Elephas maximus indicus: one gene and its partners. The protein of the gene in region 1 purifies or fractionates together with the protein of each later gene. This does not show direct contact. Links are inferred from orthologs where the notes say so. Each region holds a gene or a part of one and is shown on either strand. Other genes may lie near its edges. The genes, in order: AP1S2, AP1G2 and AP1B1.

The links.
Region 2: the proteins of AP1S2 (region 1) and AP1G2 purify together in Homo sapiens (affinity purification with mass spectrometry; 3 studies listed by BioGRID and IntAct, counting the BioPlex papers as one, with this or other methods). This does not show direct contact. The link is inferred for Elephas maximus indicus from reciprocal best matches to the Homo sapiens genes AP1S2 and AP1G2.
Region 3: the proteins of AP1S2 (region 1) and AP1B1 purify together in Homo sapiens (affinity purification with mass spectrometry; 5 studies listed by BioGRID and IntAct, counting the BioPlex papers as one, with this or other methods). This does not show direct contact. The link is inferred for Elephas maximus indicus from reciprocal best matches to the Homo sapiens genes AP1S2 and AP1B1.

The regions. Positions count from the first base shown.
Region 1 is NC_064846.1:163,732,438-163,736,183, forward strand, and holds the start of AP1S2 (AP-1 complex subunit sigma-2), read left to right. Parts: upstream 1-1,031; 5' UTR 1,032-1,168; intron 1,169-3,412; coding exon 3,413-3,591; intron 3,592-3,746. UniProt on the Homo sapiens protein: Subunit of clathrin-associated adaptor protein complex 1 that plays a role in protein sorting in the late-Golgi/trans-Golgi network (TGN) and/or endosomes.
Region 2 is NC_064828.1:34,907,325-34,911,070, reverse strand, and holds the start of AP1G2 (AP-1 complex subunit gamma-like 2), read left to right. Parts: upstream 1-1,424; 5' UTR 1,425-1,442; coding exon 1,443-1,477; intron 1,478-1,618; coding exon 1,619-1,823; intron 1,824-2,197; coding exon 2,198-2,322; intron 2,323-2,473; coding exon 2,474-2,615; intron 2,616-2,736; coding exon 2,737-2,833; intron 2,834-3,007; coding exon 3,008-3,084; intron 3,085-3,199; coding exon 3,200-3,295; intron 3,296-3,731; coding exon 3,732-3,746.
Region 3 is NC_064840.1:27,190,781-27,194,526, forward strand, and holds the start of AP1B1 (AP-1 complex subunit beta-1), read left to right. Parts: upstream 1-1,288; 5' UTR 1,289-1,440; intron 1,441-1,642; exon of another isoform or gene 1,643-1,719; intron 1,720-3,746. UniProt on the Homo sapiens protein: Subunit of clathrin-associated adaptor protein complex 1 that plays a role in protein sorting in the late-Golgi/trans-Golgi network (TGN) and/or endosomes.

The DNA of each region.
Region 1 (3,746 bases):
TGGCTTCGGGAATGTCAACTTACATATTTACTAGTTGGGACTTTTTTTTATATATGCCAAGCGGTAGAATAGGCTGGGGATGCAAAATGGAATACAATTCAAGATGTGCTAAATGGAGGCCAGTGGGTACATGGGACAAAGAACTCGTTCTTACAGGGTTTTAGGGTCAGACTTCACAGGAGAGGGGACGTTTAGGAGAAAGGGCATGCCAAGCTGAGCAGATCTTCGGCAAAGCTAAACTGAACCCAGACGGGTAAGGGGTGGCCCCAAGTGACGGGAACAAGACTCTATCTCGAAGATGAAAGGCTGTCTGCGTTTTTCAGCAGAGAACGGACAGTAACCCATCTGATACGCAGCACTGAGGATGGGCGAGGCAAACGCACGAAAGACTCTTGCAAAGCCTGGGGCGAAAAGTGTCTAGACTATGGCAGTAGCCGCGCCATGGGAGGCAAGGGCCGGGTTCCGAAGAGTTATGAGGCGGAATACTTGCAAAAGAACCTCTGACCGCTTGCACGAGCTCCACGAAAGAGCTGACTTGATTTCCCAGGAATTGCAGGCCCACTCCCCTATCATCCCTGGCCGTCACACTTCCCTCATGCCAGCCTCTTAGGGGCATGGAAAGTGATCCGGGCACGAACGTGGCTCTTCCAGGTAGGAAGCTTCCACGATCGGCATGGTGGTACCTGCAAAGCACGCCACGGAACCCCGTCGACCCACCATAGACGAAGCCCGGGAAGCAGCCCGCGAGCACCCCGGGGGCAGGGGCGCCAGGGCGCAGGCGCGCCAGCCCCGGCAGAAGCCGCTTCCGGGTCACGTGGCCGAGTTTCCGGTCCGCGCCACCCGGCTGGGTGGATACCCGGCCAATCGGCTGCCTTGGGCGGCGCCGTCGCCGACTCTGCCTCCGGTGTCGTGGGCGGTGACCGGGCTGCTTCCCGCGCGTCGCCTAGCCCGCCCCTCCGCTCGCCGCAGCCCCGGCTCCTCCCTCGGCCGGCCCCCGGGGCGGGGTCTGTCGGCTCGCCCTCCCCTCGCCGCCTAACCCAGCCTTTCTCCAAACTGGTCCCCTCCCCTCAGCAACACGGCTGCTGCTCCTCACCCCGGCGACAGGGGTTTCCCCTTAGCCGCCACCGCTGCCGGCCGAGCCCCGCCGCGCCCGCGGCCCGCGGCCGCAGTAAGTCCCGGGGGGCGAACGAAGGCTGGGGAAGGAGAGGGTGGGGGAGGGCCGGGCGCGCCCCCCGCCGCCCCGCGCGCGCCCCGGCGAACCCACCCAGCGCCCGCCCGGCCGCTTCCCGGGCGCCGCGCCCCGCAACTCACTTCTCTCGGCGTCCGCGCCCCGGGCTGCAGGAGTCCGTCCCGGCCGCCGCACCAGCCCCGTCGCACTTGTGGTTCGGGAATCGCTTCAAGTTTTGCGGGGCGTTTTGGGGAGGGGACGCAGCGGGGAACTGTGGCGGCCGAGGACCCCTGGCGCCCCCTGCGCGGCGGCGGATGCCATTGTCTCCTCGCCCCGGTGCGGCCAGCGGATGGAGTGTGGCCCCGAGGGGGGGCGTCGGCGACGCCCAGACCCGAGGAACGCTGGCCCCGAGCCCGCTCCGCGGCAGAGCCCATTGTTTTTAACACCAACCTCGAGGAATTGTGCTCTGCGATTTGCGGCAAAATCAAAGCATTGATTTTTAATAAGAGGGAAGGAGTACTTTAGGGAGAGTGAATTATTTATTTGTCCTGTGGAGTGGCAGGGCGGATACAAGAATGCTGCAGACAGCCTTGAGCCCAGACTCCGATCGCTAGTAGACCCCTACCTTTCCTGGACACCAAGCTCTATGAATACAGAGTCCATTCTTTTCCGAGTTCTAGTAACGGGTTTATATTCAGCGTGGTCCAGTCGATGCGTCCCTTGCGGCCCCTTCGAATGCCGCTATATGCAGGATTTGTTTGGGAGGCACACTGACGTCTCTGAATAAGGTTCATGTATTTTGTGCCAGTGAAGGGTTTTGAGATAAAATTGCTTTGCGTCTTTAAGCCAGTTTTAACTTTAAAAAGTTAAATTGCGGCGTCATGAATTTCCAGATATCTCGTTGATGCCTTTTTGGATTATTACAAAAAAAAAATACGACACTAATTAGCGACTTTGGAAATGTAGGGCTCATTTTATTCTAAATTGGTTGTGTAAATTCCGCCTTTCCATGTTCATATTCAAGATGGTGTGATGAATATTAAAAACCAGGTTTGAATTATATTTGCAGCCACACTGTTAAAGGAACTTATAGTTAAAAGAAAAAAAATCTCTCTGAATTGTACCTTTAAATTGCCTTTGTTGAAACGATACTTAGATGTGCGCAGTTGAGATGACCAGTTGAATTACAAGAAGAACCAGAAAGCCAAACTCGTTGTGGTCCGAGTCGGTTCTGACTCATAGCGACCCTCTAGGACAGCGCAGAACTACCCCATAGGGTTTCCAAGGCGCTGCCGATGGATTCGAACTGCTGACCTTTTGGTTAGCAGCGGACTCTTAACCACTGCGCCACCGGGGCCCCTCTGGTCCTTTAAAAATTAAACATGTAGATGAATCAACATCTGTTGGTTTGCAGATTCCAAATAACTATACACAGAGGAGCGTATCAAATACGCTAGAATACAGCAGTCACTCAATCTGTAGGTGCTATTTTTGATGGTTTTTAAATGAAGTATTGTGTAATGTCTCTAAATATGTTTAACTCTTAGTACTTCTGGCTTTTTTAAGGTTTATTTTCTCTTTCATAATCTTACACTCATTATTTATTGTGTGCATACGTATGTTGGATTTTTTAAAAAGTGAGGTCAAAACATCTTTAAAAATCAGGCTCTCATTAAGAAAAACATCTATTTATGGGATCCTTTTTTTGGTTAATATTTTAGATTTTTAAATTTTGTTTAAAATATGCTAGCATAAACTGAAGAGTGCATTTTAAGTGATAATATCCTTGTCTACAAGGAATTCAGCCCGGAGCTAGCCGGCCTCAGGGTGAAAAATAGTAGGTCTTCTCTTTCTTTCAAATGTACCTGAAGGAGATGTCTCCAGTTCTTCTGTGATGCGTAGACAGTGTGGGTATACATATAAAAAAAGCACAAGTAAAAAATACTGTTTTAAATGACAGAAGAGTTATCTTTCTTCAGAAATTTCACTCCAACTGAACTGGTTTTCTTTTCCATGCGCTCCTTTCCAAACTTGAGTGGAATAGGGTGGGGTGGCGAGGTCTGCATATAGTAAGAAGAGCTTTCTGCAAGCATCTCCTGCTGTTTTAATTGGCATAGAAATACTGATAGCTACTAGTCATTATCAGTTAAACACCCCCCCCTTCTCTAAAAAGCATGTAATTTTAATCTTAACTCTGTTGAGTCAAAGTGTTGCATCTAACCTTGGTTTTATTTACCTTAACAGATGCAGTTTATGTTGCTTTTTAGTCGTCAGGGAAAGCTTCGACTGCAGAAATGGTATGTCCCATTATCAGACAAAGAGAAGAAAAAGATCACAAGGGAACTTGTGCAAACCGTGTTAGCACGTAAACCTAAGATGTGCAGCTTTCTTGAGTGGCGAGATCTGAAGATTGTTTACAAAAGGTATGATTTCTTCCCCCCCCCCCGCCACCCCAGAACGTTGAAATAGCAATCTTAGGTCATTTATGATGTGAAAATTGCAGACTTTTAAGAGATGATGTTTATAAATAATGATTAATAAAGATTTAGATGAAATAGGTTTAAGGTGAAGCTTTGTG
Region 2 (3,746 bases), on another chromosome or scaffold:
GAATTGAAAAGTAGAATGACTCTCTAACATCTCCCTTTCTTTCCTCAAAAGCCCACCCCTCCTCAACCCCCTCTGGTGACATGGCAAGAGCAAGTGTAAAAGGAACAAAAAAAATCCAGTGCAACCAAGTCCCCTCCCCCCCAACTTCGCCACTGACCTCTCCCACCCTTCTGTTTCCCCCTAAAAGTTTGGATGGTCTGGACTCACTTGTGGCCTTTGATTAAATTCCTAAGGGACCTAAAGAAGGTGTTTCTACTGCAAAGGGTTAGAGGCACTTGAGCAAGGGCCTCACTCCCCAACTCTGTCAGTTGTGGTGAGGGGAGGCACTTCTGGGAGATGGAACCAGACAGGAACTCACAGAGCAGCGTAAGCTGCAACACTTTTAGTCACTGTCAAAATGGGTGATGTCCCTTCCCCCTTCACATGGGAATATGGTGAAATGGGAAGACAACAGAAGGAGGGGATCAAAAGAAGCTGACCCCTCACGCACCTTCCAGGCAGGGCAGAGGTAGGAGACAAACGTGGGGTGAGAGGTGGGTGGAGAGCCCTGTTTGAGGTTGTGCCTGATCCCTGGTACTAGCTTTCCCCCCTGGGGGTTAGGAAGCCCTCGGAAAAGGGGACTGTAGGACCCCTCCCCTGCATGAGGCAGAGGCAAGCTGCCTGCCAATCCCCTCCCTCAAGGAATGGCCTTGCCTGGGAATGCCCACCACATACACCCTCTTTTTTTCTAGTCAAACTGTTTATTCCTTGGCCTGCCTCCCTCCTTCCTACCTTCTCAACCTTTACTTCTGATTTCTATTTCATGGAATTTGGGATTGAAGTTAAACTACAACAGTGCCGCAAACATCAAGTCTTGCAGAAAAAAAAAAAATTAACAAAAAAAATATATTAATAAAAAAGTTCAAAAAAGGGGGGGGATTGTCATCTCCTTTGGGGTGCGATGGCTTCAACCCCAAGCTGAAGCTCTCCGGGTGGTGATGATGTACGAGGTGCCCCCTAGGGGAACCCCAGCCTCTCCATTGCGAATAAAACCTACTTCCCCTAAACAGCGAAGCCAGAAGTTTAAGCAGGGCGGGCCAGGAGGGGCGAGGTCGCGTGATGGGGGTGCGGAGGGGGACGGGCCAGATGAAGCACCGCCTCTCGATCGGCCCTGCACCAGGAAGTCCTGGGGGGGAGAGGAGTGGAGTTGAGACGGGAGCCAGGTGAGGCTGGTGTAAAGGGCTGGCTCCTGGGGTGGGGAAACTGAGGCTGCCTGAGATGGCAATCGGAGAAGGAATCCCACGGAAGAAAATGCGCGGGGCCGGGAAAGAAAAGGACAGGCTGAGCTAGGGATGGGAAACCAGGTGTGTGGGGGGGAGAAATGGGCGGGGCTCTAGCGCATGCTCAGTAGGGGCAGGCGGACGGGGGCCGAACGCATGTGTAGTGAGGTGTTCCCTGGGGCGATGAGGGCGGAATTTGGAGACCCGTGTGGGGAAAGGTAAATGTGTGCTCTGTTGTAGGGTAGCAGTGGGACACGGACCCTCAGATTCTTGGCACAGAGCAAGCCTGGGCAGAAAGGGCAGGCACATTCGGCTAGGGAGTGTTAAAGCCCTCTCTATTCCCGAGCTCTGCCCCCCAGGATGGTGGTGCCTTCGCTGAAGCTTCAGGATCTAATCGAGGAGATTCGTGGGGCCAAGACGCAGGCCCAGGAGCGGGAGGTGATCCAGAAGGAGTGCGCCCACATCCGCGCCTCCTTTCGGGATGGGGACCCCCTGCACAGGCACCGCCAGCTGGCCAAACTGCTCTACGTCCACATGTTGGGCTACCCTGCCCACTTTGGACAGGTATGGAGCAAGGACGCCTCCTTCTTGAATTTGTGGGGCGCAGGTCTCGGAATCCCTCACTGACCTCAAGTTTGTCATTCTGCAGTCTCTGAGCTCTCACAGCATGCACCGCTAACCTTCCCCATCCTAGCCCCCATTGGCGGTGAGCTGGCCTGAATCCTTCATTCTCTGGCCAGTCTCGTTCAGGGCACCTTCTCTCCCATCCCAAGGACTCCTAGTTCCTTGAAACTACCTACAAATGCCTGAATCTCCTAAGCCTCTCCCTCTTGTTGAAAGGAGGGTGATGGGTTATTGTGCCCCACAAGTCAATCTGGTGTTAAGATGGAAGATGGAACAGGGATGTTAGTGCCTCTGGTTTCACCCCTTCTCTATAGATGGAGTGCCTGAAACTGATCGCCTCCCCCAGATTCTCAGACAAGAGAATGGGCTACCTGGGGGCCATGCTTCTACTGGATGAGAGGCAGGATGCCCACCTGCTCATTACCAACAGCATCAAGAAGTGAGAGGGCTGGGGGTGATTCTAGGAAGCACTTGGAATCAGGGAGATGGGAGAGTGGGGAACTGGGAAATGCCAAGGGGCTGCCTGGTATAGGTACTGGGAAGGATTGGTTTTTTCAGAGGCTTCACTGACCCTCCTCCCAACCCTGCAGTGACCTGAGCCAGGGGAGTCAGCCAGTACAAGGTCTGGCCCTGTGCACTCTGAGCACCGTGGGCTCCGCTGAGATGTGCCGGGACCTAGCCACAGAGGTTGAGAAACTGCTCCTGCAGCCCAGCCCCTACATGCGCAAGAAGGTGAGGCAGCAGACTCTAGGCACTTGCCTCTCAAGAAACCATCCCTGGTTTGCCACGTGGTAGAGGTGTGCCATAGTACTTGATGGACCCCTGCCCTGTCTGAGCTCCCTGACCTCTGCAGGCTGTTCTGACTGCGGTGCACATGATTCGGAAGGTCCCTGAGCTGTCCAACATCTTCCTCCCACCCTGTGCCCAACTACTTCAAGAGCGCCACCATGGTAAGGCCACGGGGCTCCCCATCCCCTGCCTCTGCTCTTGCTGTGAACCGAAGAAGTGAAGGTTGTGACGGGAATACCAGCTCATAGGAGAAGGGCAGCACACACACCTATACACATGCCGTAGACTTTCCTTTGCCCCTGCCCTACCCTTTGCTTCCCCCACCCTGACCCCAGGCATCCTGCTGGGCACCATCACGCTGATCACAGAGCTCTGCGAAGGAAGCCCTGCAGCCCTCAGGCACTTTCGAAAGGTGGGCTGCTGAAGAGCAGGCACTGGGCCAGAAAAAGAGGGACAGTGGGGAGGGATGGTGCTGGAGGTTGAGAGGGTAAGAAGAATGCCTAGACACGGCTATGCCCTCCCTCCAGGTGGTACCCCAGCTGGTAGAGATCCTTCAGACTCTGGTGACATCGGGATACTCTGCAGAACACAGCATATCTGGAGTCAGTGACCCCTTCCTGCAGGTAGGCTGACCTTTATGAGCTGTATCCCTCGAACAAAGGGAGCTTAGAAATAAGACCACAGCCAGCGCCTACCTCCCAGAAAACACTTAGGCTCAGTCACTGTTTTGGGCAGGAAGGTGGCAGGCATAGGATTGCCTTGGTCATCCCAGCACCAGTGGGGGGAGGGGGGGAGGTGAGGTGCGGGGAGTACCATGTCAGAAGATCCAGTTTGACAGCCATAAAAAAATCCTATCCCAAACTCCCCAGGTGTCGCAGACTTCTGGTACCTTTCCAGGACCCCCAGGGACCTGTGGAGCTGAAAGGGAGGGGCAAGGAGGCTCTAGGGAGCCAACCAGACCCCTCACGATGCTCTCCTCAACGTTGGATTTTTCTCCTCAGCCCCATGACTCCTTACCCTATGAGCTCCTCCATCTTTCAACCTTTAACCCAACCTCAGGTCCAGATACTTCGT
Region 3 (3,746 bases), on another chromosome or scaffold:
ACAAATTTATTTTCTCACAGTTTAGGAGGCTAGAAGTTCAAATTCAGGGCACTGGCTCTAAGGGAAGGCCTTCTCTGTTGGCTCTGGGGGAAGGTCCTTGTCTCTTTTCAGCTTCTCTTCCTCAGTACCTTGACAATCTTCATGTGGTGTGGCATCTATCTTCCCCCATCTCTGCATGCTTCTCTGTGCCTAATCTGTTTGTTTAATATCTCAGAGGTGATTCGCTTAAGACACCCTACACTGATATGGTCTCATTAACATAATAAAGAAAACTCTATTCCCAAATGGGATTATATCCACGAGTATACCCAAAACCAAACCCATTGCCGTGGAGTCGATTCTGACTCATTGCGACCCTATAGGACAGAGTAGAACTTCTCCATAGGGTTTCCAGGGAGCACCTGGTGGATCTGAACTGCCAACCTTTTGGTTATTAGCCGGTGCTTTTAACCATTACATCACCAAGGTTTCCATATCCACAAGTATAAGGGTTAGGATTTATAACACGTATTTTGGGGGGACACAATTCAATCCGTAACATCATTTTACACCTTTAGTCAGCCTCAAATTCATTCTTTTAACTTTTAATTTTGAAATGATTATAAACTTAAACTGCAAAAATAGTAGAGTCCCCTATACCCTACACCTTGCTTCCCCCAATGGTTACATCTTATATACCCCTCAAAGTCAAACCCAGGAAATGGAAACTGGGTACAATACTGTTAACTAGACTACAGACCTCATTCAATTTTCAAATCCTTTTTTGAAGCAGACAGGAAACAAGTAGAATATTTTTATATTACATGCCATGCCTCGTGAGGTCCTGGTAGACCCAACGAAAGGGGAAATGGGACTTTATGAAGTTCTCCTTGGATGAGAGTGTCTTGGAGGGTCTGATCTTTCCCCTAGAACGAGGATTCCCTAAGGACTGCCATGAAAGGCAGAGAATGCTGGACTAGATTTACAGTTCTAGTTTTGATTCTTCAATGCAAAAGCTGAGTGACCTCTCTGGACCTCAGTTTTCCCGTCTGGAACCAGAAGAAGGAGAGAGACCTCAAAGTCTCTAGGATCTTTCCCGTCTCCGTCACACCAGCACCACTTCGCAGTCAGCTGGCTCACTTCTCCAGCGCTGTACGGGAGCCGGCAGCTGAGCAAGGCCCTAGCGGCGGTCGGCTCCACCCCCTCCTTTGCCCCGCCCCTCGGGCACCACCCCTGGCCCGGGGAGCACTCTTGGCCCCGCCCCCAGGCCGTGCGTCCACCGGAAGTGTGAGCGCGCGGGCAGCTCACTTCCGCCCGGCAGGTGACAGCCGCGGGGCTGAGAGCGGCCCGCGGTGCGGACACGCCGGGAGAGCGGGAGGAGGAGGAGGCCGCGGACATTTTGCTGCCGTGCCGATCCGAACCGAGCCGAGCCGTGGCGCCGGGAGCCGCTCGGTCTTGCGGGTGAGGAAGCGGAGTGCCGGATGCGGCAGGAGAAGAAGTGGGACGGGGAGCCGGGGGTCTGAGCTGAGGGGTTGGCGGGGTCAGAGGTCACTGAGAGGACAGGGCGACAGTGGGTACGCGAGCGGCCTCCCTGGCTCGGAGGAGGCGGAGGGACTGCAGGCTCATTCATTCGCGCCCCCTTGGCCTCCGACCCGCATCCCAGCTGCCCCAGGCCTGCAGCCCCGCCGCCCGGGAGACGCCCCCAGACTCAGGCCCGAGAAGCCCACGCCTGGCTGAAAGGTAAACTCGTCTTTGGGCTTTGGTTTTCCCGTTCACACTGACCCTCAAGGCCAGCCTGAGGCCTCTTCGTTAAGGGCCTTTTTCTCCATGTCAAGGTTGGAAAAGAAACGACCCTCTGCCGCCGGCACCCGGGGAGTATCTGAGCTCGGTCTGTCCCTTGGCGCCTCCGTGACAAGTTGACTGAAGACACGTATAACAATGCTAAAATGATCATTATTGGTTATCGACCCCTACTGTGTGCCAGGATCTGTGCTAAAATACCACGTTTAAACCTCCATTCAACACTCGTGAGATAGCTACTGTTGCTATTCCCTGTTTACGGATGAGGAAACTGAGGTACAGAGAGGTTAAATCACCCAGGTAGACGGATCAGATAGTGTAGACAGAGCCAAAATTCCTATGCAGGCTTTCAGGGGCCTGCGAAGTGCAGAGGCAGGCTGGAGCAGGGCTGGGGCGTAGGGGCTGCTTAATACTCAGCTGCCACTATATCTGTTTGAATCTATGTTACAACGGTAACAACGTGTAAAGATGTAGCTTTATTGCTTCTCATCTGATCTTCATTTATGCCCCTGCCTTTGATTCATTTTTCTTTAGAATGAAACAGTCCCGCAGACTGTCGCTATACACCTTTCAGGGCAAGAGTGGCAGTCTTTCCTGACTTTTAGGCACTGTGAGACATAAAACACCTTATCTGGGAAACTAATTTCAGAATATCAGGAACCTCTCTTGCAGGTGGTTGAGCTGCATTCCTTTTGGAATAAAGAGAGGAACCACATGACCCCTACAGGATCTTTTGGCCCTAGATTCTAGAAGGATGTATTCAAGGGGAAGGTCTGTGCCTCTTTGAAAAATGTGGAAGCCCCATTCTTCTTGCCTGGGAGATGGTGAGGTGGTTTGGTGGCCGGAGAACTAGGCTCTGTGAGTCTGAGCCTTTATTCCTTTGCAACATCCACCCCCTCTCATTCTGCCTCAGTTTCCCTGACAGCAGCATGAGAAAGACCTGCTGCCTCCTTACCCCTTCGTGGGTGTTACAAGCCTTAGTGAATCTGCTAAGGTTTCCACATGCTTCTGAAGAAAGCTGTGAGGTAAATATTACTGTAGTGCCTTTTTTGTTTGTTTTTTTTAGCCTCCATGATCTGTTCTCCTAATTACCGAATCCACAGAAACTTAATATTGTCATCTTATCCCATTCTTCCAAGGGAGGATTTGAATGAAGTGACTTGTCACAGTTGGTAGGAACATGAGCAGAGCACCAAGCATCTGGTTCCCTGCCCTGAGTTGAGCCGTTTAGAAACTGTCATGAAGAGCAGCTTGACAAGTTATCAAAGAATCAGATCCCTCATAGTTTGTGAGACTTGAGCAAGCCTGAGTGGTTTGAAGGGGCTCAAAGGTACAAGAGAAAGAGCACACCCCGACTTTCCAGTAGTCAGCCCTGGATTCTGACCTCAGTTCGGCAGCTTAATGGTAGCGTGATCTGGACAACTTACTTAGGCTGGGCCTCTTTTACCTCAACTCAAAAATAATACTGAGTCCCCACCCGGCCCCCCGACACAGGTGGTTGTGGGGGTTAAGTGAGGACATTTGTGCAATGCGCCTAGTATAGAGCAAAATGTTATTATCGTGGTGGGTGTCTTGACTTCAGGCCTGTTGATCCTCAGGGGGCTTTTGCCCAAGGAAGGCTGCCAGCTGTGGTTTATGGGGCGTTACTTCCTTCTGCAAACAGAGACCTTTATGTTCAGAGGACTTCTCGGACCCTTCTTGTTTCACTTCCTCAAAGTACTTCAGGACAGGCTCAGTCCGTCAGTCCTGCTGGCTCTGGGCTTGGACTTTAATCTTTTTGTAGTCATCATCTTGTACATCTTGACTGCTCACTTCCCATTCAAAACCCACATCTGGCACAAAAGCCTTGATATGCTACCAGTGAGCAAGCACAACTTGGGTATGGGTTTTGCACTGTAATATATTTCTTAAATCTGAGGGGGCATCTGTTCTTTGAAGATGTTTCCTTTTCCAAACAGGTCTTTTGC